Coturnix japonica: one gene and its partners. The protein of the gene in region 3 interacts with the protein of the main gene of each other region in a biochemical or structural test. Links are inferred from orthologs where the notes say so. Each region holds a gene or a part of one and is shown on either strand. Other genes may lie near its edges. The genes, in order: RPS6KA1, sodium channel protein type 5 subunit alpha-like and PTPN3.

Region 1 (4,122 bases), on a different chromosome or scaffold from region 3:
GAGCAGCAGAGCTGGGAGTGCAGTGGGATGTGGCACAGAAAGGTCACCTTCATGGGACCTGGCATGAAAGTGCAGCAGGTCACCAAGAGTGGTGTCTCATTTTGTTCTCCTCCCTCATACTCCTCTACGCATTCCCAGTTGGTTTGCATGCAGAGTAGCTGGAAATCCAGAACAGGAGCTGCATTTTGCAAACAAACATAGAAGGTAAGCGGGATGCCAGCACTGACATCATCGTGTTATCGATGCCATTTAAAACAGGTTGCAATCTGCAGCAGCTGGAGGAGGGATGCAAGCAAACGGCACACCATGTACCAAACAATAAGGGTAAATTATGGACAGCTTCGGAGCTGAATGAATAACTCTCCGCAAGATCTGCTTCAGCTTGCTCCAACGGTAAGTGACATCAGTTTAATTGGCCTCATTTAGCACCAGCCTGGTGGATCTGTGTTATTTAATGCCTTCATCTGCAACTCAGTGCTTGCAGCACAGAGGGGTGCTCCAAGCACAGACAGCAGTGCTGGGCTCACATACTTTCACCGTGGGAATTTCTTACATCGGATTCCTGCACGTGTGAACAAGATGGGCCTAGTAATGGCTCACAGATCAGTTCTGAGAGCTGTGAGGATGGAGTGGAGTTTCTCAGCCTGCTGTGCTCTGTTCTACTTCAGCTTTCTTCACCTTCACCGCCTCTGATCAGCTCACGGCATTCGGGCCTCACAGGGATGGCTTCACGGGACAGAGTGCAGCAGCAGAGCTGTGTGCTGTGCTTTCCCTTGGGCTCATTAAATGATATTTCAGCCACACCTTGATGAAGTCAGCCCTTAGCAATGCACCCTTTGACGTGGTTATTTGTTTTTGTTTTTTTAATAACAAATCGTTTTAAAGAGGTTGAAAACGTGGTACTTTGGATTTCAGTAAAAGCAAGAAGACAACTCCTCCTGCACGAGAAACCCGGCAAACCCAAACAGTGCCGCATGTGTTCTGAGCAGCTGTGCTCACAGTACCTTTCCTCCGAGCATCCACCGAGGCAAAGCGGGGAGGGGTTCGTTACCCGTATTCGAGGAGAGCACCGCGATCAGCCACTCATCTCCAACCGAAGAATCCAAAGGTGTGCGTGGATATACACACGATCCTTCATTCACGTCGCTGCCTGAAGGAAAAGCGCAGGGCGGGGGTGGGTCAGGAAGGGCTTAAGGAAAGGCTCCGCACCGCAGTGGGCTGCCCAGGGCAGCGAGCGCAGCCGAGCGACGGTTCCCCGAGACCAGCTCGGAGCCGCCCCGGAGCCGGGAGGAGCCGCGCCGCCCCCCGCCCCGCCCCGCCGCTCCCGGCCCGGCTCGGGCAGCCGGTGCCCAGCGCGGGGCACGGAGCCGAGCGTTGCCGCGCCCTGCGGGGCTGCTCGCCGGCAGGATGCCGCTCGCACAGCTGGCCGAGCCCTGGCCCAACATGGAGCTGGTGCAGCTGGATACGGAGGTGAGCGGGGTGAGACGGGCGGCGACCCCCAGGGGTCTCGCGGAACAAAGGAGAGCCCGGCCGGCCTGCTCCTTTTCTTCCTTCCCTCCCTTCCTTCCCTCCCTCCCTCCGCTCTTGCCCCGCTGCTCCAACTGAGCCCCGCGGGGTTGGGAAGCGCGGCGGATCGCTGGGAGCTGCCGGCTGCGCTGCTTTCCTTCGGCTCCTCGGTACGAGCTGTGAACGCGAGCACGGCTCTGCTCTGGGAGCTTCCCCCGCCCGCCTCAGCGCTGCCCAGCCGCCGTCCTGCGTCTGTCCGCTGGATGTTGTGCGCTTCGCTCTTAACGAGCCCCCCCAGCCCAGGTGTGCGCTGCCCGCACCGCGCTTCGCACCGCAGCCGCCGCAGCACGTCGGCACCGCTCGCAACCTTTTCCTCGCTGTGGTGCAGCCGAGGTGTGAGCACAAACGGCTCCTCAGCCCGGCTGCAGCTCGCGGCTTTCGGGATGGGTTCGTGCGGGTTTTGTCCCGCTTCGCTCGCTCCCTGCCGCTCTCCCGTTTTAGACCTTCTGCCTCTTACCCCTCCTATCGTGCCGAGGGATGTCACAGTGGTTAACTGGTCAGTTTCGTTTATTCCTACTTAAAATTATCTCTTAAGGAAGCTCTGCTGGGAACGGAGGCCAGGTTGCCCAGCTGTCACAGCCAGATGTGAGGGGTGGGCGGCTGCGCCTCGTGCTGTGCACTCACCTCTGCTTGGGGTGTGGGGATGTGCCTGTGTCCTTCGGGGACTGGGTCGTGGTCCTGAGGCCATAACGTGCTCAGGGAAAGCTGGGTGTGATGGGGGGATGCGATTTGTCTGGAAAACAAACTTGGAGTGGGAGGAAACTAATGCTGGTGCCTGGGGCGATAGATGCCATGGGCAGGATTGGTGTGTCACTTAATCCTGGGGATTCGGGTGCTGGGTGGCAGCTGTGCCAACACCACAAACGTCTCCCCTGGCTGGAAGCAGCCACGGGGGCACCACATTCATCAGCCAAAGTCCCTCAGGAAGATTGTGGCAGCAGCGAGGGCTCCTCTCCCCATTGCATTAGTTGTGGATGTGTACTCTGTAAACTGCAGCTGCAGGCTGCCTTTCCCAGCTCTCCTTGGCAGGGCTGGAGGTTGGCGGCAGGGCTGGGAGCAGAGTGCTGGTGCTGGAAGGCACTTGACACCTCAGCACTGTGCCAGGTGGGACACCAGCAGCTCTGCTCCCTCGGGCTTCAGGTGAGCGATGTGCTCGGTAGCATGGGCACTCTGCACCTCTGGGCGCTGCTGCAGGCACCTGGAGCCGACAATCTGTGAATGGCAGAGAAGGACTTGGTGGAGTTTTGCACGCAGTGAGGTTCTGTTTGCCAGGGGCAGGAAGGTTCACCTTCTGTAGGGCAAGGTGGCACCAAAGAGAGAAACCAAAGAGACTTTTCTGGAATGCGTTACGTAAATCGCCTGGGATCGCTGCCATCGAGGTGTAAAGCCAGCTTCCTCCAACCTTTGCTTTCTGAGTCACGGAGCAGAGGTGCTGGCACTGTGCTGCGGAGGCACCCAACTCATTGTGTCAGGGGGTTTTTCCACTGCTCCCCAGGAGCAGCTGCTGAGCTGGTCACAGCCAGCACCCACTGTCTCAGAGCTGTGCTGAGGAAGCAGTGGGAGGGTGAGCTGTCCTGTGGACTGAGCTCGCTTCATCATGCTTCCTTCTGTTTACAAGGGTGGACAGTGATAGGACAAGGAGGAATGGTTTTAAACTAAGACGGGAGATTTAGGTTGGATCTTAGGAGGAAGTTTTTCCCCAAGAGGGTGGTGACACACTGGAACATGTTGCCCAAGGAGGCTGTGGATGCCCCATCTCTTCAGGCATTCAAGGCCAGGCTGGATGTGGCTCTGGGCAGCCTGGGCTGCTGGTTGGTGACCCTGCACACAGCAGGGGGTTGGAGCTGGATGAGCATTGTGGTCCTTTTCTACCCAGGCCATTCTATGATTTCATTCTATGATTTCATTTATTCCAGTTCTTTTATTTTTATTCCCTGCTCTATTTTTTTCTGCCTATTTGGAATGTTGCTTATGTGGTAGAAAAACCTGTGTGGGGCAGAGCACTAGAGATGGAGCAGAGCTGAATGACTGCATTGCCATAGTGATGGGAGCTGCCATCATGGCTGTGCATGCCTTTAAACTCTTGTTGTCATACACAAACACAGAGCAACACAGATGACATGAGATTACGACAAACCCAACCACTCCAAGCTAATTATTTTGGCCTGTGTGTGTGCATCTGCTCATCCCTTGTTGAGCAGAAGCTATTCAGGAGTAACTGTCTTTCTCTGTGTGCATTTCAGCTTAAAAGTGAAGACAGTGATGATCAAAGGGGAGGAAGCAGAGAGGTTTCTGTCCATGATACACTTTGAGCACTGTCTCCTCTTGCGTGGGGAACTCTGGAGGGAAGAGCTGGAGATGGTTGTTTTTGCAGAGTTCTGTCCTTTCCCCTGTGCCATGGGGTGATGTGTGTTGGCAGCACTGAGAGAAGCGCACAGCCCGCATGGTGCTGCCCGTCCTGACATTTGTCCTCCTTACGTATCAGAGCAGCGGTTCCCTGTTCTGTAAATTGCTCCTCCACATGCTTCAGATTAGGTGGAATTAAAGGGATTTAAA
Region 2 (10,108 bases), about 42 Mb from region 3:
TTACTTTAATGATGTGAGCTGTTATGTGCCTATCAGGGCACTGAATGCTTTCTTCACACTTGGACACGTTCGCTGTCTGAGGCGCTGCCTGCCCGTAACATTTTTTTCCCCCTTAAATTAGATTAGCTCACTTCAGGATTACATTTTTGAGTCTAATTGAACAAATGTAGCAATTTAGCCAGGCGTTACAGGATTTCCCCATGGATGCTTGATGAGAGATGCTCCACGAGGATGATAGACTTAATTAAAAGATAGAAGCTGAAGACTGATACAGATGTATCAGCTGACATAGCAGCAAGATTTATATCAGGGTCTCTTAGCTTATCAAAATCAAAGCTGGGGATGAAAAGAAATTCAGATCCTCTAAATCTTGTTCTTGAGCTTTCCATAGCACAGAGAAGGTTTGGGTAAGGATGGAATACAGCCCCATAGGTTTGTTTTGTTTGCTCTCGGTGGGGCTAGGAAGCATCAGGGAAGTATGTTTGTGGGATCTAGGATCTTCCCTGTCTTAGAAGAAGTATGGGTCACAATGGGATAGCCAAGGCCCTTTTACCTAATTAATAAAGCAGTGAGTTGGTGATAGGTCTTTCTGCACCTTCAGTCTTCTGTCATTTTATGTGGGAAAACCCTTGTCCCGGTGTCTCCCTCTGTTTCAAAGGGATTTATAGCAAATAACAATATTATTTTTTGCCCAGTAGAGGGAAGTATTGGCTAAACTGAGCATTGCCTTTGAAAACCCAATAGCACCCAGTGCTCCAGCAGCTTCTTGTACCACTGAATAAGAGGTACGGTAGCAAAAGGCTTCATAGAGAGCCATGGTCTGTGGAAATCAAAAGTGCTCACATAAAAGGGGGAGGGCAGGCCTTTCAAATTTAAAAGAAAATGTGTGTGTATATATAGAGGCAAATTAAGTTTTGCAGGATTCTGAGGAATTGTAATTTTATTTTATTTTTTTTAAATTTATTTTAAGAAAAAGAACAGTATGTTTCGAACCAAATCTCTCCTCCAAACTCTCTCGTTTGCAAGAGCTGCGTGTCTTTCCAATTTCTTTGTTTCCTTAAAACAGGTGGCAACAAATGTGTGGGGATTTAGGATGAAAGGTTCTATAAATACCTTGGAACAATAAATGGCTCTTTGTAAGCAGCACTGCTGTCTGTAATTCCTTTAAGAGAGCAGTGAATGCTTCAGAGGAAAAAGGTGGGTTTTTGGAGGGAAGTGAATAGAAAGATGACATCAACTGATCTCCCACGTAGTATTTACTTTGCTGCTGGTGCTTCCATCTGACATACACGTTTATTGGGTTTCAGCTGACTCATTTGAACTTCTTCACAGACGTTGCGGTAAGTCAACATTACCTGAATGCTTCTTGCAGATTTGGGTGAGGTAACGCATGTTTAATCAATTTCATCTCTTTGATCAGTCTGTCTATAGGGCTGCAGTTAACGTGGTTGCTGTATGATGAGTTTTTCCATTATGAGTTGTCTGTGTCCCAAGGATGCTTTCTCCTTGCTGAGCGAGTTTGTTGCTGCACAGGTCCATATCCCGCCTTGATGTGCTGCCCTTCAGCATAGGGGTGCATTTCCATAAAGCAATGCTTTTGGGGAGGAAATTTATATATAGCAATTGAATAACATGTGTATGCTTGATCTGGAATCCTGGGGGCAAGTTTTTCTGGGCTCTCCCTAGGATGGGATATGGGGGATCCTCTTAGTCCTGGCATAGAATGCATACAACAGATAGCTTTCCCTTCCTGTCATTTTCCCTCTTCTGTCTTTTTCCCTACCTTTCCCTTATTTTCTTTGTTTCTTCTGTAAATAGTACTCTGTGTTTCCTGTAAGCTCTGCTCAGACTGAGCTGATTTCATTACCAGAGGATCAAGGATTTGCTGGTGTTAGGAGTAATTTCTCCATTTCTAAAGGCAGACGAAATGAGGATGGATCTTTCTTGTGCTTCTTCAGGATTTTACAGTGCTTCTTTCATCCATAAGAAAGAGTGGCAGAGTTGAAAACTTAGAACAGTATTGTTCAATACTGGCTGCAAAGGAGAGAACAGCTGGTTGGACCAATGGACGGGAACTTCAATGAAAGCTCAGGGGCTTTCCCTTCTGTTCCTTGGCTGTGACTCTAAACCTGTGGCGCTGAGGTGCTGGATGCTCCCCTGTGCCCTCACACTTAATTTCTGGGACCAGGCCTGGCACAATCACTGGGACTACTAAAGAAGGAATTGGGGAATGAAGCCCCATTTTCAGCCTCATGCATGGCTCTGTGGGAGCAGTCAGCACGGTTCTGAGCTTCCTGCAGGGATGCTGGTCCCACTGCCCCATAGCTGACTTTGTGTACTTTAGAGGATGTCCTTTCCCCTGCACAGCCACCATTCAGCTTCATATGGAGTGATTGATTACAAAGGCCCTTCTCTGAAGATTTGTCTTCCTCTGTCTCCTACCTCCTACAACATCCCGCATTGCTGCAGGCTTTCAGGGGTGGTTTTCCCATCAGGAACCTTCCTTCCTGCTCACATCCACCCTCCTCCATCTTCACCCACTTTCATTTCCCTTTGTGTTCTTCTTTTTCTAGTCCCAACCTTTTCTTCCTTGCTCCTTCTCTCCACCTGCCCTTCCCCACGATAAGCTTATTCATTCTATTTTCCAGTTTGCATCTATGCCAATTCTGATCTCCTTATCTGTTAATTTCTTTGGATATGAGCTTCCTTCTGAATTCAGACCTTCTCATTGCTCACCTTCCTAGTGCCACTGCTGCTTTTTGGGGCATCCTCAGTACTTTGCTGACTGATCTGCTCTTTTCCCAGCACTTGTGTTGTAGAATTGATATCCAGCCTTCAGCTGCTTTCACAGCAGTGTTTCTTACTGCTCCAGGTTCATTGTAGATCAGTTTCATGCACTGCAGAGCCCATCATTGGGCAGGGGAAGCACTGCTCATTTCTCTGTATACACTATTTTACCTTGTTCAGAATTGTGAGCATTTTTTGCAGTTCTTCAGAAGTTTCTTCCAGTTCTGCAATCCTGAATACTTCAGTATTTCTAACAAACTGCTGCTCCTCTCTCCACCTATGAGCTTCCATTTCTGACCATCTCACTTATCACCAGGCAGATTATTTTGTGGCAAAAGTTGCTCTATTTGCTCACTTCCACTTCGTCCTGTAAGCATGACCCAGCCTCAACTCTTCCTTAAGGACTGAAGCACTTGGGGCAGAAGCTTGCAGGAGTGCTTACATTTGGTTGTGTTTGGTTGTCCATGGGAAGAACCAAAGCCAGCTTTGGCACTACTCAGCCTGTCCCCTTCCCCTGGTTGTTGGTGTCCTCCTGTCCTGTGTACCCCCAAGCATCTCTCCTTGCTGTCAGACAAATCCTTCCTTCAAACCCCCTCAATTCCCTGATGGCAACCCACAACATTCATATTCCCTGTTCTTCCCCATTCCACCTTCCTTCCCAGTTTTCTCTATTCCACCTTGCTTCCTAGTCCACTTTCTCCCCATTTCTTTATTCCCAATTCCTCCTTTCCTCTCCTTCCTCCCTTTCCCTCTTCACTTCTTTTCTCCCTCTTCACCCCTCATGCTTGCCTATCTTTTTCCCATCCCTCCTTCTTCCTCACATTTCCCTCATCCAACCCTCTTCTCCATCTCTTCAACCTCTCTCTTCTCTACCCATGTGTACTCACCTTCCTCTCCAAACTTTTTCCCTCTGTGTTCTGTCCCACCTCACCCCTTGTTTCTCATCCTTCTCCAGGCGTGCTCACCCCTTCCTTTCCCCAAATCCCCTTAACTTCCTAGTGACAACCCCAAACTTTCATCACAGTTCCACCCCACCTTCTTCCCCAACCTTCACCAGTCTCCTGTATCTTCAGCTCTTCTTTCCTTCCTATACCTTTTCCTTTTTCAATCTTTAATCCTTTCTTGTTCCTCCCTTCTGTTCTCCATCCACCTCTCCTTCCCTTCTGTGCTTCGCCCAGTCTACCTTCACCTCCATCCTTCCTCCTAATTTTCTCCCCCCAGCCTTCCTTCTGTCCCTCAGTACCTTTTCTTTTTCCTATTTTTTCTTCCCCAGCCTTTCTCACCCTTCCATTTTTCCTGACTTTCCATCTTTTTCCCCACCCCATCCCTCTCTCCTTTGACACACCCCTCTCCATCCCTTCCCACCCTTCCTCTCCACCCTTCCCCTGCCATTCTTTCCCCTCCCTATCCCTCCATCTTTCCTCCCCCTCCCCACCCTTCCCTCCCTTCCCTTCCCCATCCTTCCTCTCCCCCGCTCCCCCTCCCTCCTCCCACCGGCGGCAGAGGGCGCTGCGGACCCGATCCGCCCCAGCCCGGCTCCTCTCTGTAGGGCGGGGAGATGCGGGAGGTGCCTCCCTTCCATCCCTCTGCCCTCCCTCTCCCCTCCCTCCCTCCCCCGCCGCCCGGCCGGGGCTGCGCTCCCCCGGCTGCCGCACACGGCGCGGCGGCTCCGAGCCATGAGCCCTACGCGGCGGCCGGGCAGAACGCCCCGCAGCCGGGCCCTTCCCGTGGGACGGACCGCTCGGGGACTAAAACTCTTATGGATACAATGAAGTGGCTCTGGGACTCTTGGTTTAGCAGGAATATTTAAATAAACCAATGTAAGTTTCTCTTTTTTGTTTGCTTGTTAATAAAAAAAAAGAAAAAAAAAAAAAAAAGAAAAAAAAGAAAGGAAAAAAAAAGCATAAGGAGAAACCCCCCTTCCCCTCCTCTCCCCCCTCTTCCCCTCTTCCCCCCCCTCCCCCGTCCCCCCGAGACGTCCGGTTCAGAGCGAGTCGGAAGAAAGAGGAATTTGTTGCGACGGGATTTCCCCCTTCCCCAAACTTTCCCCTCGAGGTGGGACTGGTGCCGTCCCGTCCAGGCAGGGCGAGGTGAGGCTTCGGGAAGGAGAAGTTGGCTCAGCAGAGCTTGCGCCGGGGTGTGGAAATGGTTTAGATGTGGATGTAGATGTTGTGCTGGTGAAGAGTAACTCTGGTTGGGAATTGGTCTAGATTCTGTCTTGCTTCTGCATCCAGAAGTGCCGGAAAGAGACAACAACACAGAAAATACTCTGCAGATTGTTTGGTGAATGTCATGTGGTGTCGGATGGCTTTGAATGGAATTTTAGTGGCCCGTTTAGAAGGGAAGAAATAAGCTTGAATGGTTATTTCCGCGGTGGCAAGGAAAATTAATCATTCTCATGTATCATGAGAGCGTTACTGATATTACTTGTAAGAACTGCCATAATATATTAAGCATATGTCTTAATAACACCACTCATCTCAAAGCCCTTTGCGAAACACCCGTACTTGAAACGTTTGGAGTTTTTCCAGCACAAATTAAAAACTCTGCTCGGCTTAAGGAAGTAGAGGAAAACAGGGAAAGCTGTGCAGCACACTGACAAGGTGATCATGATTTGATCAAGGCTGCCCCGAGGGGACCGGTGACATACTGGGAGCACCGTAAGAGAGAATGAAGGCTAAATTAAAGCAAAAGTTATGCAACCAAAGTGTGGCTGCATATGGGAACAAACCAGACCTTCTTTTTTATTTAATTTTTAATATATCTTTTTTTTTTCTCCCTGGATATTTGGGTGAGAAAGTGGAGATGAGCTTCTAAAAAGCAGAGAGATGCGTGAGCTGTGCTCACCTACGGCAACAGGTCTTGCTTTGCCTGGAAAGGATGAGCTGAGCTTTGAGAGTGCTTGAGCTGAGCCTTTCCAGCTGAGGCTGGGGCAGCTGCTGATCCTGCAGACGGGTGTCATATCCACAGCTTGTGGCCCCGATTTTATTTTTTCTTTTCACCAGGGTGACGAGCTGCTATTCCCAAAATACAGGGCGTATGGTGGAATAAAGGCGGCGATTCAAAGAGGATTTGTCAATACTAAAAATAAACAGGCCCGCAGATGTGTCCTAGGGGGTCACGTCCAGTCATAGCGTTTTCAGGGCCGATGTGCCTATTTAGTGATTTTGCGTGAGCGTGTCCTGTCCAAGGTGCTGAAGTTGATTTTGCTGATATTTCTCGGGATTTGAGGGCTTTGCACGAGTTGGTTTTGGGAAGCTTCCGCTTGTCTTGAGGCGGTACGGTTTGATTTGGAGGGTCCCTCCTGGGTGGCACAAAGAGGAAGCAGGGATGTGTTTTCAGACACGTATATTTGATCCGTCCTTTTGGCGTGGGAAAGCAGGCCAGGTGGAGCTGCAGATGGATCCAGCAGATCCTATAAGCTTTTGGTGGCAGAGAACTGGAAAGGTCAGAGCTTTAAGGCAGCGAGGAGTGAAATTCCCTCATTCTAGTGGACCAAGAAAGTGGTGGTTTTGAGTGTCTCTGCTGTTGTTTTGGGTTCCTTGCCTCTGATGAGATGCCTTATTCCAAAAAAGTTGAGGGGGAGCCTCAACTGGGTTGAGGGTAGAAATGATGCAAATGGGACTGGAATGATACCCGATGATTTTGATAGTATTTTTATTCTTCTTGTGTAGCATCTAAAAACAGCAAATGTGGTTGTCAGAGACCTTCAGAAATAGTCAGTCCTTAAGGGAAAAAGTGTGTCTTTTGGGGAAAGTGTCTCAAAAATTAAGCAATGGAGTCCTGCACTGCAAATTGTTGTATTTTTAGATTAATGTGCCAAAAGCTCTCAGACTTAAGTAGTTTAGTTTATGTAATCTTTGGTATGAGACAGACCACAGTATTGCCAGAAATGAGTATAGTGGAAAATATTATTTGTCTTTGCTTGGTGTTTGATGTTGTGATGTGCTTCTCATCAGTTCTTGAAACTAATTTTGAGTCCGTTCATAATGTAGATTGGTACTTTTTAAGACTCTCAAAGTGTTTTACAAACACAGATGATCAGACTTTGATACCTGAGTTTTTTGTGGATAAATAGTTCATGCTGCGAGGAGTCCTGTAGGTTTAAAGCACACAAAAAGTCTGTACAGTATGGTAGAGTAACTGATGTTGTTTCATATCCTCAGTCACTCGTCAGAGATCACAGAGGAACTCAGTTGCATCATTGTCTGTGTACCCTAAATACCTTGACCATGAAGGGTGTATGTGGATCATGAGGCTTCCTGACTCTGTGTGACAGCTTATGAGGATAGAGTCTAAAAAGTGCAACACAGTGGAGAGCATTATATTCCTGGTCTGAACCAGAAACTAGTCTCCGTTCTTGCTATGATGGACTAACTCCTGTGGGACTAGCACACAACTCATGAGACTTACACAGGCTACAGAGAACAGTTGAGTAGTAACTGCATTCTTGATTTAAATGCATAATCAAAATTATGTTTAAAATTGTACTGACAGGAAATGACATTCTCAGAGGTGCAGGAGATTTATGAAATAGAACTAGTTTAATTTTATGTTAAAAATCTTGTGGTTTCTTTTTTTATTATTATTTTTTTCTGTATTGGACAGGGATTTATCTCTTCTTGACTGTTTTCTTTACCATTTTCAATTGTGTATCTTGAAGGAATGCTCTGTCCATGTATGTGAGGAAAGAACTTTTAGGCTTGCGTGCTAAAGAATGTTGAGTGGCTGTTCTGAAATCGTGGTCATGTTTTTTGAAAGAAACAGATCAATATCTGTTGCTACCTTGGTTTACTTTTGGAAGCTCAATATGACAAATAGAAAGAGACCTTTTGTTTTCAGAGGGCGGATGCTCAGTTTTTCCCAAAAATTACTACCTTGTAAGTTGTCTCCAATCATCCGCAAGAATTACTCTGAGAAATTATAGGTCTGATAGTTAAAAAGTGGCAACAAGTAATTTCTCAGTTCAGTTAAATGAAGCTCCTATTTCACAAAGGCGGTATATCTCTGAATTATATGCTTAACTTCTGCTTCTGTTTACATGCTGTCTTGTGGTAGAGCCATAATCAATGTGTGAAGCAATTTATATTTTGAATTCTATAATTGCTTCTCACTTTTACTGTCTATTTTTTGTGCTTATCCCATTGCTTAAGATACTCAAGACCAGGTTGGATGGGGCTTAGGGAAATTTGATCTAGCAGGAGGTGTCCCTGCCTGTGGCAATGGGGTTGGTACTAGGTCATTTTTAAAGTCCCTTCCAACCTGAACCATTCTGTGATCTGAACCTGGAGGAAAACTACATGAAATCAGTCAGGTATATTCCTTTTAGCTTAGGGTGACTGTCTTGTCTGTACTGTCACACTGTTCAGATAAACGTGATAAATATTTGTTTATCTTTAAACTAACCATTGTCTTTATGACTGAACTAAACTCCTGATTTGTTTTCTACTGATCTTTTATTATTTATTTTGTGAACCAACCGTTGGGCCCACTTTCACCTGGCTCTGTCTCTTTGTCTCTTTGGGTTTCTCTTGCGAAGTGACAGTTTCTAAATCAGGAAGGAAATCAGGTCACATTTCTGGCTCTGCAGGACTTATCTCACTGCTCTTCTTTCAAAGTAATTAGAGTTACTAATAATGAGAAAAAGAAAACTTTTTTTTTTTTTTTCTTCAGAACTGGTATGTTCCTAACCCCTCTCTCCTGGCTGTTTTTTGTGTCACAGAAGAGATAAGAGTTTATTGAGGAGGCTCCTTTTCTCCATCAGACTGTGACTTCCTTTAAGTTGAGCTGCAGGTGATATGGTCACCCTTACAAAGATACCCCATGTTCCTTAGATTAGCTGAGTTTATTTATTCCCCACTCATTCTGTTATGGGCTGCCCTGTGGCACTGGGTAAGAACCCACGATGGAGCTGGTTAGATCTCAGCCTGGGAGAAGAACAACGTACTGACCAAAGCTGACTGTATCCCAATCCCTGAGCAGGCTGGGGAAATCTTGGTGGGACAGTATAAGCAGAATAGAAAGCATAATGGTTTTATTAAACACACGTAGTGCCAGCAATGACAACCATAGTTTGTACCCTTCCTATTCAGGCCTCTTATCAGTTACAATTTGCTGGGGTATACTCTCAGGAAAAATGGCAAGTGAAGCTCAAAAATTCACTCTTCCTTAATACATCCACCTTTGAGGAGATGTGACTCAGGAGGCTTCCTCTTCTTCACGCAAAATTTTCATTGATGTCAAAAGATCTCTTATTTTCCATAGCAAAAACGTGCTTCCCTGCTCTCTGTAATCAATGAAACTGTTTTTGTCTCAATTCTGCATGACAAAAATGGCTTGGTTTTCATTATTATTATTATTATTTTGTAGTTTTATAATATTGCAGTGGCTTTTTGAGTAGAAAAGCATCACACATCAAATAATGAAGTTCTAGTTTTGCAGCATGTTTTGTTACAAGTGCTGCTAAGCACCGAGTTTTCCTTTTTTTTTTTCTTTTTTTTTCTTACTGTACTTAATTAATTTGAAAGTGGAACAATTTGTGCTCTATCCTGGAAAAAAAAATAACTCTGTGCTTTACCAGGTTGTGTATTTCAACTTTCAGCTTGATTTGAACTTTCTTGATTTGCACAGCTTCTGCCAAAGAGGCTTTTTTATGGCAAAGCCCTACTAACCGGTTAGAGGTCCTTTATAAAGCTAGCTGGGTTCCTAAGGTTCTAAAACTGCTCTTTATCCAACATATGACTTGCAGATATCTTTCAAATGATGCCTTGCTAGTTTTATTCTAGCGCCAGTATAAGTACAGAGTGTTTATGAAGTTATATGGGTAGTTAATATCGGAGTGCATAACACTGGAGGCAGACTGGGGCATGGGTAATTTGTCTGTGCCAGAAGCCTGAAGTAGTCGTGGAGTTTGTAGGCTGATTTTGCTCATTAAGCTGTGGTTTGGGGCTTTAGAGAAGTCTGTTTTTCTTTTTGCTGTTTCTAAATGCTTTATATAACACTGAAACATCTGTGCAATAGGAAGGTATGGAAGAACTCGCCCATGGACAAATTCTTTCAAGACCCATTAATTGGAGATGGATTAGATAGTCCATTCACAAGGATTATATTGTTTATAATGATTTTTCAGAGATTCTTTTTCTTATTGTAATGAAATGGTCACTCTTCCCAAACAAATGTGCAGTTGTTTGTGTCTCAGTATCTGAATATGTCACCGTTCCTCCAGGCTGGCTTACAGCATGCCTACATGAGGTCTAGAAGTCGCAGGAACCAGGTGCCCACTTGACCCTGGGTAATCAGAACAGAACAGCTCATGGGGATC
Region 3 (10,292 bases):
CTAGCTGCTCTGGGTCCCGCACACATCAGACCTATTGCCTGCACACAGTGGCTGTTGAAGCACATTCAGCTAACTCTATGCTTGGTATCTTCATGTCTTGGAACCTGACAGCTCCAATGCTCCCAGTCAGAGACAGATGTTTCAGCACCATTTCTCCACAAGCAAGCTTTATTGGGTCTAAAGAGAGCACTGGGAACCTTCCCTCTCTTTCCCTCACTCATCCTGTGCCTGCTATGCAAGCAGCAGTTCTGCAGTAACGCCACAAAGCCATTTTAAAACAAACCAGCACTTACTATTCTGCTGATTTAAGCATTTTCTCTTGAATGAGAAAGGAAAAGCAATGACTGCCCACATGGTAAGGATGACACCATCACATGCGGTATATTCAGGACTTCATCTTCTTCACGTTGCACTGGGTAGCAGTTATTACCCAAAGTGGGAAACCCATGATGTTTAAGGAATCAGCTGCTTAAATCTGCTTCTTTTATGCCAGTTAGGGCCCGCCCTCAGGCTTTTGGAATATTCCCAAATCAGCTTTGAATAGGACAGCCTTTAATCAGTTCCACAGAAATCTAATGACGCATAATTGTAGGTTATGGCTAGATACTGGGGTGAGGACAAATGGAGCATTATAAGGAAGCAGATGTGAACATGGCTTGGATATTTTGTCACTTCAGTGACAGAAGTGGAGACGAGCATCAATTGCACAGTTACTGTATTGTTTTTTCAGACAATGATTATAATTACAGAGATGAGCTTCTTGGAGGATCAAGCACCACAATTACGGGATGTTTGTCATTTGAGTGCTCTTCACAAATAACTCACACATGAATGTACGCATCGATTTGAATGATTGGAGCCCATCCAAAGATGGCTGTATCGCTTCATATTTTAATTTCATTACAGCAAAATACTCCTGTATGTAAACTTGACTCTTTCTAGAGTTTTTGCTGCTATTGACAGTACCAGTTCACATAGCTCATTAGATGGCTTTCAGATTTTTAGGATGTGGTGTTTAAATGCTTTCATTCATCCCAAAATTCTCAGGCACCTATTCTTACATGCTGTTTTTCTCTTTGCTGAAAAGATTGGAATCAACTCTCACTGTGTCTTCTATTTCCAGAGGCGGGTTAGCAACTTTAATTCCTGACCATCTTCATCCATGTGCAGATGACAGCTAAAAAGAGAAAGGGAAATATATATATAATTTTAAAAGAATTTTCTCTGTCATTCTTATATTACCTTTTTGCAAGTACACTTTTTTCTTTTTTTTTTTTTTTTTTCCCTAACAGTCCTTTCCACTGAAATTTAAATCAGAACATGCTAATATGGGAGGGTCCTTGACAGGCTGGAAAGCTGGGCTTGGGTGAACCTAATGAGGTTCAACACGGCAAAGTGCAAGGTTTTGCACTTGGGCCGGAAGAACCCCAGGCACCTGTACAGGCTGGGAGGAGTTGTTCTTGAGAGCAGCTCGGCTGAAAAAGACCTAGGGGTCCTGATAGATGAGAAACTTAACACGAGCCAGCAGTGCGCTCTGGCAGCCCGGAAAGCAAATGGGATCCTGGGCTCCATCAAGGAGAGGGGTGGTCAGGCAGGGATAGGGAGGTGATCGTCCCTGCCTCTAACTCTGCGTCTTGTGAGGCCCCATCTGGATACTATGTCCAGGTGTGGAGCTCAGTACAAAAAGAGTATGGAGATCTTGGAAAAGGGTACAGAGGAGGGCCGACAAAGAGATCAAGGGGCTGGGAGCACCTCCCCTATGAGGACGAGGCTGAGGGAGTGGGTTTGTTCAGCCTGGTTAGAGAGAAAGGTTTGCGAGGTGACCTCATTGCAAGCCTTGTCAATACCTGAAGGGACACTTACTCCCAGGAGGGGAGTAAACTTTCTGTCGAAAGGGCTGATAATAGCAGGACTAGGGGAAATGGTTTTAAGTTTGAAGGAGGGAAGATGATTAGGTTGGATGTTAGGGAAGTTCTTTACTGAGAAGGGTGGTTAGGTCCTGGAACAGGCTGCCCAGTGAGGTTGTGGATTGCCCCGTCCTTGAGGTGTTGCAAGACCAGGTTGGACGGGGCCCTGGGCCAACAATGATCTAGTAAAGGTGTATGTTTGGTGGCCCTGCTAGGCAGGGGGGTTGGAACTACATGATCCTTGAGGTCCCTTCCAACCCGGGTAGTTCTGTGATTCTGTGATTCTGTGATAATATGATTCTGGGTAGGAGTTTGCAAATGTCATAAAACTTTTGTTATTGGCAAGTCACCTACTGCAACTGCATGTAATCAGACAAAGCAAATGCATATATATTCTTCTGCAAATGTAGTTCCAAATGCTTCTGAGCTTGTGAACTAAGTCACTAAGTGACTGAGTTCCTACTATAAACTACCAGTGCAGTAACCTTAGGACATCTTAGAACATGGCTCTGTAATGGATGATGGAGTAAGTAAGTAGGTTATACATTTACCAACCTCCTGGTCTGTAATAAACCTGGCTGGCCACATTAAGTCATGCAGAGAATGATGTTTTGAGACTCAGGTAAGTTTTCAGAGTCTGACAGTATCATCTTGCAAGCAAGGGGCATTTCACAAAAAGCTATTTCCCCATAGTCATTCATCTTCATTCAGTTCAGCATTGCCCAGCTTTATCTCTGAGCTATCTCTCATGCTAAGCATTATCTGGGATTTTAGGTCAAGTAGGGGAGTGGATAAGCACATTTTTATTGGGAATATTCTTACAGGAAAAGGATGCAGAAGGAAAAATGCAATTACTTGGCCTCTTCATTAAATATACTGTTAAAGGTTTTGCAAGTCTGTCTTAATTTTCAACCCTATGAGGTCTTCAATCCATCATCTTAGGAGTGCTGCCATCATTTGAGAGGTCTTTAGTCTGTGAGTGAGAGTACATGGGCAGTCGTAGCACATGTGGAGGCAAGAAGGCGACAGCATCTCCATCATGCACTGCCCTGGCAACCACTGTTTCCTCAAGTGACCAACGATTATTTGCTCTAAATTCCAGGGAAAATTAATTCACTGTCATTTCCTTTACAAACCTCCCCACTAAAGAGAGGCCCCTCAATGAGCTACACTGCGGAAGTAAGGTGAACAGAAGCAGCTCTCTCATGTTGTTTGTTAAAGTACTGAAGCAAATACAAGACTCCTATTTGAATGAATTCAGCCACTGAAAAACACAGCTTTTCATCAGTCTGTTTGAGTCTATTTGCACATGAAAAAAAAACCAAAAAACTAAAACCAACCAACCAAACAAACAAAAAAAAAAACCCACCAAACAACAACGACAACAAAACCAGCTCTTTGCAATCTTTGTTGACTTTTATTTTTTTAAAAAGAGAAGGGGGGTGAGTATTCAGATCTTCTGAGTCTAATGTAAACACTCACTGGCTGCAAAATGAGAAATGTTATTTACCCAGGTGAGAGAGAAGCAGGAAACTGCCATACTACATCATTCTCCACTAAGGAACCTCTTGTGGACCTGCCATTTCCGGGAGGATGTAAAGTTCTTATAAGTGAGAATTGGTTTAGATTTTTTCTCTCAGCAAAACAGAAACTGGACTTGTACTGAATTTTATAGAATTATTTTATTTATTTATTTTTTTACAGCATAAATAATCAGGTTATGACAATAAGGTCACACTCCTTGTATAACACGACACTTGGCATGCATGCAATCTGAAATGCTCACTGCTCATTGTCTGCCTCATCCCAATATTTTACAAGTGTGCAATAATGATAACTTCCTCTTTCATGTGTGTTTTGTGCATAGATTTCAAAGCACTTTCTAAAGAAAGGGAGCTGTAATTATCTGTGGTAGAGATGGGGAAACAACAGAGAGCTAAAGCAATTTGCCCAATGTGACAGGGCAAATTAGAGGCAGAGTCAGGTGTAAATCCCACGTCTACTGCTTTTTGGCTCTTTCCTAGCCACAGCCTCACTTGCACTCAACAATGCTTGGGGGTGCAACTGCAGTAGGAAATGGCTATGGGGATACTTTTTGATGTGCCCTAATGTGGAACTGGTGCAAGTCATAATGAGGGGCCACTCTTGGCATGAGGTCAGCAGAGAACTGGTAATTAAACTGCATGGAGCTTTCAGGGCCATGCTGGGGGCTCTTTGCTGAGACCTATATAGGGGTTGTGCTAAGGCAGAGATTTTTGTGGTTGCTACATGGACTTAGCTTCTCTGCAGGCAGCACCAGTAACCTTGCATTCTCCAGTCTGTGTATCTAAGAAATCACGGCCACATGGTTTGCATCAGTAGCAATCAGCGCTATTATTCATGGGGGCAGAGGTCTCTATGGCAGAGATATGGGGTTGTTTTATCCCACAAGAATCTATGCCCTGTGAGATGCAGAAGCAGACCATGCCACCTGTGTGCATAGCAAAAGGCTTGCTGCTCTCCCACGGTGCAGAAGCACCCAACTTATACCGCTAGCTGTGGTTTATTTGGCATGTAAGACTGATTCTAAATTACTTCCTGCACGTTCTCAAGCAGCTTCCCTTTAAAGTGCAGCAGCTGTGACATTTTGCAGGTTCTGTAATTTCAAATGAGGCGCTAAGAGACTACTCCTTTCAAAAAAAGTTCTTTTAATGAAGGTGGGTACCTGTTGCAGTGAATCAATTAAAGCTCTTCTGACACACAAGATGCGTGTTGCCAGACCTGCTGCACAGGTTTGTCAGGAGGAAGGATAACATGTGACAGCACACAGAAGCCAAGAGGGCTGGAGAAGATCAGAAGCTCGCATGAGCGAGCTGAGCTTTCCAAAATATTTTCTTGAAACGCTATTCAGAAGACCCCTGAACTCTCTGGCAGGCGGCACCATGGTGGAGCAAGAGATCCTGCTGTCGTGTGCTTATCCTCAAGAAAAGTGTAAGTGACCAAATGTGATTTTGTATGAGAAATGAAAGCAGGACACAGGAGAAAGGAAATGAAAGAAACGATCTAGCTATTATAATTGAAAAGGCAGAGGGAGTACAGGGGAAATGCTAAAGTGAGGAAATAAGGAAGCTATTAAATTTATATTGTAGGGATGCAATTGAAATATGATTAGTGCCTTTACAAGCAAAAGAAAGGATGCTTGTATGAAGAACTTTGATATAAAAGCGTCTTGAGGAAACTTGCTTTAATGTTTGGCTTTGTGCTTGTATTTGTGAGGTACTACGATGTGGCACTGCAGGTGTGGTGGAGAATGTGAACAGTGTGCTCTGAGTAACTCAGACGGCAGCTTGGGGGACTGCAAAATCTTTTTCTGGGAAGTTATAGTATGGTGAAAGACAAAAATGGAGGTGGTTGTTGTTTGACTGTACAAACTGTCCAGAACTTTATGCAAATGTCAGCTGAGATTTACAGCACAGTTCAAAGATTCCCAAATCAATCCCTCTCTCCCCAAAGGAAGGTTTAACATAAATATTATTTATCTTACTAGAGACCATATTACAGTCTGGAAAGAATAACAAAAATCTTTGCACGTGTTTGGTTATAACAAGATTTGGAGTATCTAAAAAGTATTCTGAAAAACTCGGAGTTCAGCTCCCAAGGTGCCCAAGAAGAGCGTGTCAGGCAGGGAGGGAGGCAGCTGGCTGCAGGAGCAAGGCACTGCGCCTGGCCTGGACTTGTCTGAACAAAACGCTCAGCAGAGGCAAGAACGGAACTGGTATGTCCCGAAGCCACTCCAGTGTGCCGCCTGAGCAAAGTTCAGCGCTAAGAAAACCTTCTCTCTTTGAACTCCAGATACTTCACTTTTTGAATGGGTTGGCTTGTTTTGGCAACACGAAGAGGATGTTATTTAAAGCTTACTCCACATGGAAGGATTGGCTTTGTTCTGGATGTGTGCCTCTGTGCAGAGCTTGGTGCTGGCTAAGAGCAGGGAGGGCTGGGATGCCAGCAAAGATGCAGTTTACCTGTGGAGAGATGACTTCTCTCACAAAGCCCCAAATGCAGAAGACGACAGAGAATTAAATTCTTCCTGCTGATCTGAGTTAGGAGCCAGCCCGCTTGTAGCCAGCCAGCCTTAAGGGGAACCAGAGTTGTGGTTGCTTTGCTATGGAAAACCAAGTGCTTCCTTTGCTGCTGACTAGTTGCTATTAGAGGTTTTCATAAACCTTTACATATGCAGGCTATCAGTAATTTATTTTTAGCTTTGCTGTAACATAAACAACCTGAGTGAATGCTTTTCACTTCCTTTCTTTTTTCTCCTTTCTTTTCCTTTTTAAAAAGCAGATGAGCCATTCTGGGTTAAAATCATCCAGTTGCCATCTATGAAAGACAGAGGGTGAATGGAGTTCAAATTGCACAGTTTTGTATATTATATACAACTTCACACTGCGTGTCATTGTTTTTGCATGTGTAAGAGAGAAGGATTTCCCAGTCAAGCTTGGCTCCCAGTAATGCAGAAATGTGTCAGCTGCAACGCATGCAGCACTGTAGAGTCTGAAAAATATGCACAGAAAAATCATAAGAAACACAAAGAAAGTAAATCCATAAGAGGAAGGAAGCCAGGTGATACCGCAGGATGCACAAGCTGGGCTCTCTAATTACATCTTCTGGTGGCATGAGTCAGGACTGGTCGCCCCCTGAAGCCACTGGAGTTGCTCCATGGGCTGAAGAAAGGGCCACGTAAAGAATCAGCCTTGGCATTTAGAGCATTAAGCACTTGCCAGGAACAGGTAGTACATCTTCCTGACACATTAACCAAACACCACTGAGCACTGAATATCTCAGTTCTGGTCATGAAGGGTCAATCTACCCCAGTAGGCGATGCATTTGAGCTCAAAACTCTGTGCTTTTGTGAACTGGTCTGAAAAGTTGAACCATTGCAGATCTTAGCTTAAAGACAAAACCAAGCCTTTTAAGAAATCCTTCCTGCTGTATCAAAATGGGCAAGGGATGTCTTTGTGAGTCATTGGCTATGTATCTGTTGCTATGTGAATTTAACAAGACACTCGAAACTTCATACCTGAAGTGCCTAGCTGTCCATGACAACGTATTTCCATATGTGTGTCCTGTTTATTGTCATTTATCTCTATAAATGATTTTCAGGGGAAAAATAAGACGTTTTATGGTGAGCTTTTTTTGTCTTCCAAAACATGCTGTGATGCTTACAACACTGAAGATTAGACCATTGTTAGTCATATATTTTCTATAGGTCTGCATAGGTTCAGTGCTTCACTGCTAAGGTATTCACTCCACAGGTGGACACTACATTTTCCTTGTGTTGTTCTGTTTTTTTTTAACTGATTACTTTGTCAGGCATCTCATCCAGTAGGACCATCTCAAGACAGATATGACAAGACCAGGAAGGTAGCCTGTGCCCTGTTGTTTCAGGACATGTTAAAATCTTACCAGCTCTTGCTACTGTTGTTTCTTTTTTTTCTCTCCTGTATCAGAAATTATGAATTGTCAAAACAGTGTTGTGTGAGGCGCATGTACCTTGGGTAGGCACAGCTGCCTCGCTAGGCTCAGCACCACCATCCATCCTTTTCAAAACCATTATTCTCACCCCTTTTGGCAGAGATGGATTCTGAGGAATATACCATAAATTAGTCATTGAAATGGCTATTATACCAGTTAGAACAAAAAATGTATGTAATAAATGTGGTTTCTTTTGGAGTTGTGATAAACTTCTCGAGTGGCTTCACAGCTCTTCTCTATCTTGAAATCCTTTGTTTGTCTGCTCTTTTTGGTAATATTCTTATATTGCCAGAGCCCAAATATCTATTTTTTTCATAACAGTAGGAAGGCATGTGAGAAAAGGATTCTGGTCTCAGCCTTTTAAAGAGGAGAGGAAAAAAAGTAACTTCACCCGGAACAAAATTAACCTGAAGACACTTTACAAATAAAAAGCACTTTTGTGTTGTACTTTAATTATCTGTAACAGAATTAAAAACCACCAAAGGGTTGGTTTTTGTTTTTTATTTCAGTGATTCCAAAATAATAATAATAATAATAATAATAATAATAATAATAATAATAATAATAATAATAATAATAATAATAATAATAAATATTCTCTTAATTTGAAAATAAACATGAAATTGCACTGTAATTTCAGTGAGAAGGCATTTGCATTTGAGGCTGGTTTGGTACTGATTGTTTTATCTGTCATAAAGTGTCAAATGTACATTTTCAGGATGGTTTGCCTAGATTTCAGGTATGAAAAAGTAATCTAAAATTAATAGATTTCATTCTTACTCGTAAGAGCATCATTGCAGAGTTATGCATGCAGTCATGGGAGGACGTGGGAAGTTCTCTGTGCGTCTTGAGGAGGCAAAAAATAAAATCCCTTTCCAACATAAACTGTGATCCCATGCAGCCCATGCCTTCCCTCACTGACACCTAGATCAATGACAGCCTGTCAAATTCTTCCTTTTTTTTTTTTTTTTTTTTCCTTTCTCCCTCTCTCTCCCGCCCAAAGAAAACTGTTAAATTCTAAGTTTTAGGGAAAATCATTTTCAACTACCTTTCAACTATTCATTATTTTCAAATCTAAAATCTCTTGTTTGACTGTATCTGTATCTACTTTGACCACTTAAACGAGATCACTCTCTGGGCAGGAGTAATTCTCTGTTAACTACGCAACTGTTTTTTTGATCACTTAACAAATTTGCTGGTAAAGACTTTTTTTATTTTGTTTGGAGTGTGCACTGAAATATGAAGTCATATTTCAGTGTAGAGAACTGATACTGGGTGGACTACATGAGAAAAAGCACCACTTTTTGTCTCGTGGACCTCTTAAAGTTCTACTGCTGAATCAATGTTTGGCCATATAATATGCACTCTGTAGGCTCCTTGTACATGCCCATTTTATATCAAAATTCCCTGCAGTGTTAAATCAGCTGTCTTGGAGAAATCAAAATATACTGCCCCAACATGATTACTGTTCTTGACAAGACCCGTCATATCGTCAAAACAAAAAACTTATTTAAATAGAGCTGTTTTCCAGGGAACTGTGGTACCTGACTGTCAGGTATTTTGGCTCTCAGTTTTGATAACTTTTGATAACAAATTAATACATCGGTGTTCTTCAACCTGATCTATAGCAATAGTCAGATAATAAGAAACAAAGTTGATTTAATTCCTTACTTTTTTGAAATCCAAGTATGTCCAAAGGAATAAAAAGTAAAGTGAAAACAAGGCTTAATTAATACACGTGCTCTTCATATGCTCCTCATCTGAAAGCCACGTGGAAAGCTATTTCCATGTGAATTCCTCTCTGTTGACTTATCTCTGGAAGAAAGGCTTATGTAAGGCATGGGTGGAGTTCAGGTAGAAATGTAAGCAAGATTGAGCTGCTCAGAAGTGATTGAGAAGTGTACTTGGGACAACTGTTTATATTCACCCTACGTAGTCCAGCTGCTAAAAACTTCTCTGAAAAACACATAAAACGGGTATAACCAGTACTGGCTACACGTTCTGCACACAGGCGATGTTAGCTGTCCCAGAAATGTGCCAGGTTCAGCTGGAAAAGGATTCAGAGCAAACACTTAAGATGTGAAAATCCTCTGAGGGCCTGGCAGCTGCATCAAGGATGCTCCAGAGTCCAGAGGACGCAGGGACTCTGCCCACGCAGAGACCTCATGTTTAGTGTTTTGCTGTTCCTGCTGCTGTGGTAACGTGGGTGGGAATGCAAGCAGGGAAGGCTACCAGCAGCTGGATGCATTCAGCAGCTCATGCAGGACAGGCTCGGAGGGAAAGCTTTGCAAGAAAGGGAAAATTTGAGGAAGAAAACAGCAGAAAGAAGTTGAAAATGGGCCTGGAATATGTTTGCCATTCTGCTCAGTGCACACTTGGTGTCTCAAAGGCACACACATCTATGTCCTGCTGAGATCCTGGCTCTTGGAAGGCTTTCTGGATCTTTGCAGTATTTCTCCTCATTGCATATGTGAGGTTTCTGCTGCACTGGAGATTTCTGAGGGACACAAGCTCTGTTGTAGTGGCTCCATGAGGCTGTTGATAGCAGCAGGGTTTGCTTATCTGCATTTTTCCTCAACAAAGCACATCCTTTCCTCAAGAAAAAAACAAACAAGCACACAAACAAAAAAAACCTTTACTTTTGCTACTGTATTTTAGGCACAATTATGCTGTTGATTTCAATACCATGATGGCAAAGTTGTCACAGAGTACTGAGAGCAAAGCTTTGCATGGAGTTTTCTTCCAGAGAGTTGGTCTAGCTTAGGACAGCCTTCGGGGGGGGGGGGGGGGGGGGTGTCTATCCCTCTCCTCTCATGAAAGAAAGATCTAGGTGTAAAATCCATTACAGATTTTTGAACTGGGCATTTGACCTGA

Evidence for each region.
Region 1: the proteins of PTPN3 (region 3) and RPS6KA1 interact in a test that uses a peptide from one of them, tested with the Homo sapiens proteins (2 studies listed by BioGRID and IntAct). The link is inferred for Coturnix japonica from reciprocal best matches to the Homo sapiens genes PTPN3 and RPS6KA1.
Region 2: the proteins of PTPN3 (region 3) and sodium channel protein type 5 subunit alpha-like form a complex in vitro, tested with the Homo sapiens proteins (2 studies listed by IntAct, with this or other methods). The link is inferred for Coturnix japonica from reciprocal best matches to the Homo sapiens genes PTPN3 and SCN5A.

Annotation. Positions count from the first base shown.
Region 1 is NC_029538.1:170,207-174,328, reverse strand, and holds the start of RPS6KA1 (ribosomal protein S6 kinase alpha-1), read left to right. Parts: upstream 1-1,322; 5' UTR 1,323-1,407; coding exon 1,408-1,470; intron 1,471-4,122. UniProt on the Homo sapiens protein: Serine/threonine-protein kinase that acts downstream of ERK (MAPK1/ERK2 and MAPK3/ERK1) signaling and mediates mitogenic and stress-induced activation of the transcription factors CREB1, ETV1/ER81 and NR4A1/NUR77, regulates translation through RPS6 and EIF4B phosphorylation, and mediates cellular proliferation, survival, and differentiation by modulating mTOR signaling and repressing pro-apoptotic function of BAD and DAPK1.
Region 2 is NC_029517.1:4,780,021-4,790,128, forward strand, and holds the start of sodium channel protein type 5 subunit alpha-like, read left to right. Parts: upstream 1-4,398; 5' UTR 4,399-4,607; intron 4,608-7,068; exon of another isoform or gene 7,069-7,217; intron 7,218-10,108. UniProt on the Homo sapiens protein: Pore-forming subunit of Nav1.5, a voltage-gated sodium (Nav) channel that directly mediates the depolarizing phase of action potentials in excitable membranes.
Region 3 is NC_029517.1:46,306,291-46,316,582, forward strand, and holds the start of PTPN3 (tyrosine-protein phosphatase non-receptor type 3), read left to right. Parts: upstream 1-4,720; 5' UTR 4,721-4,750; coding exon 4,751-4,877; intron 4,878-10,292.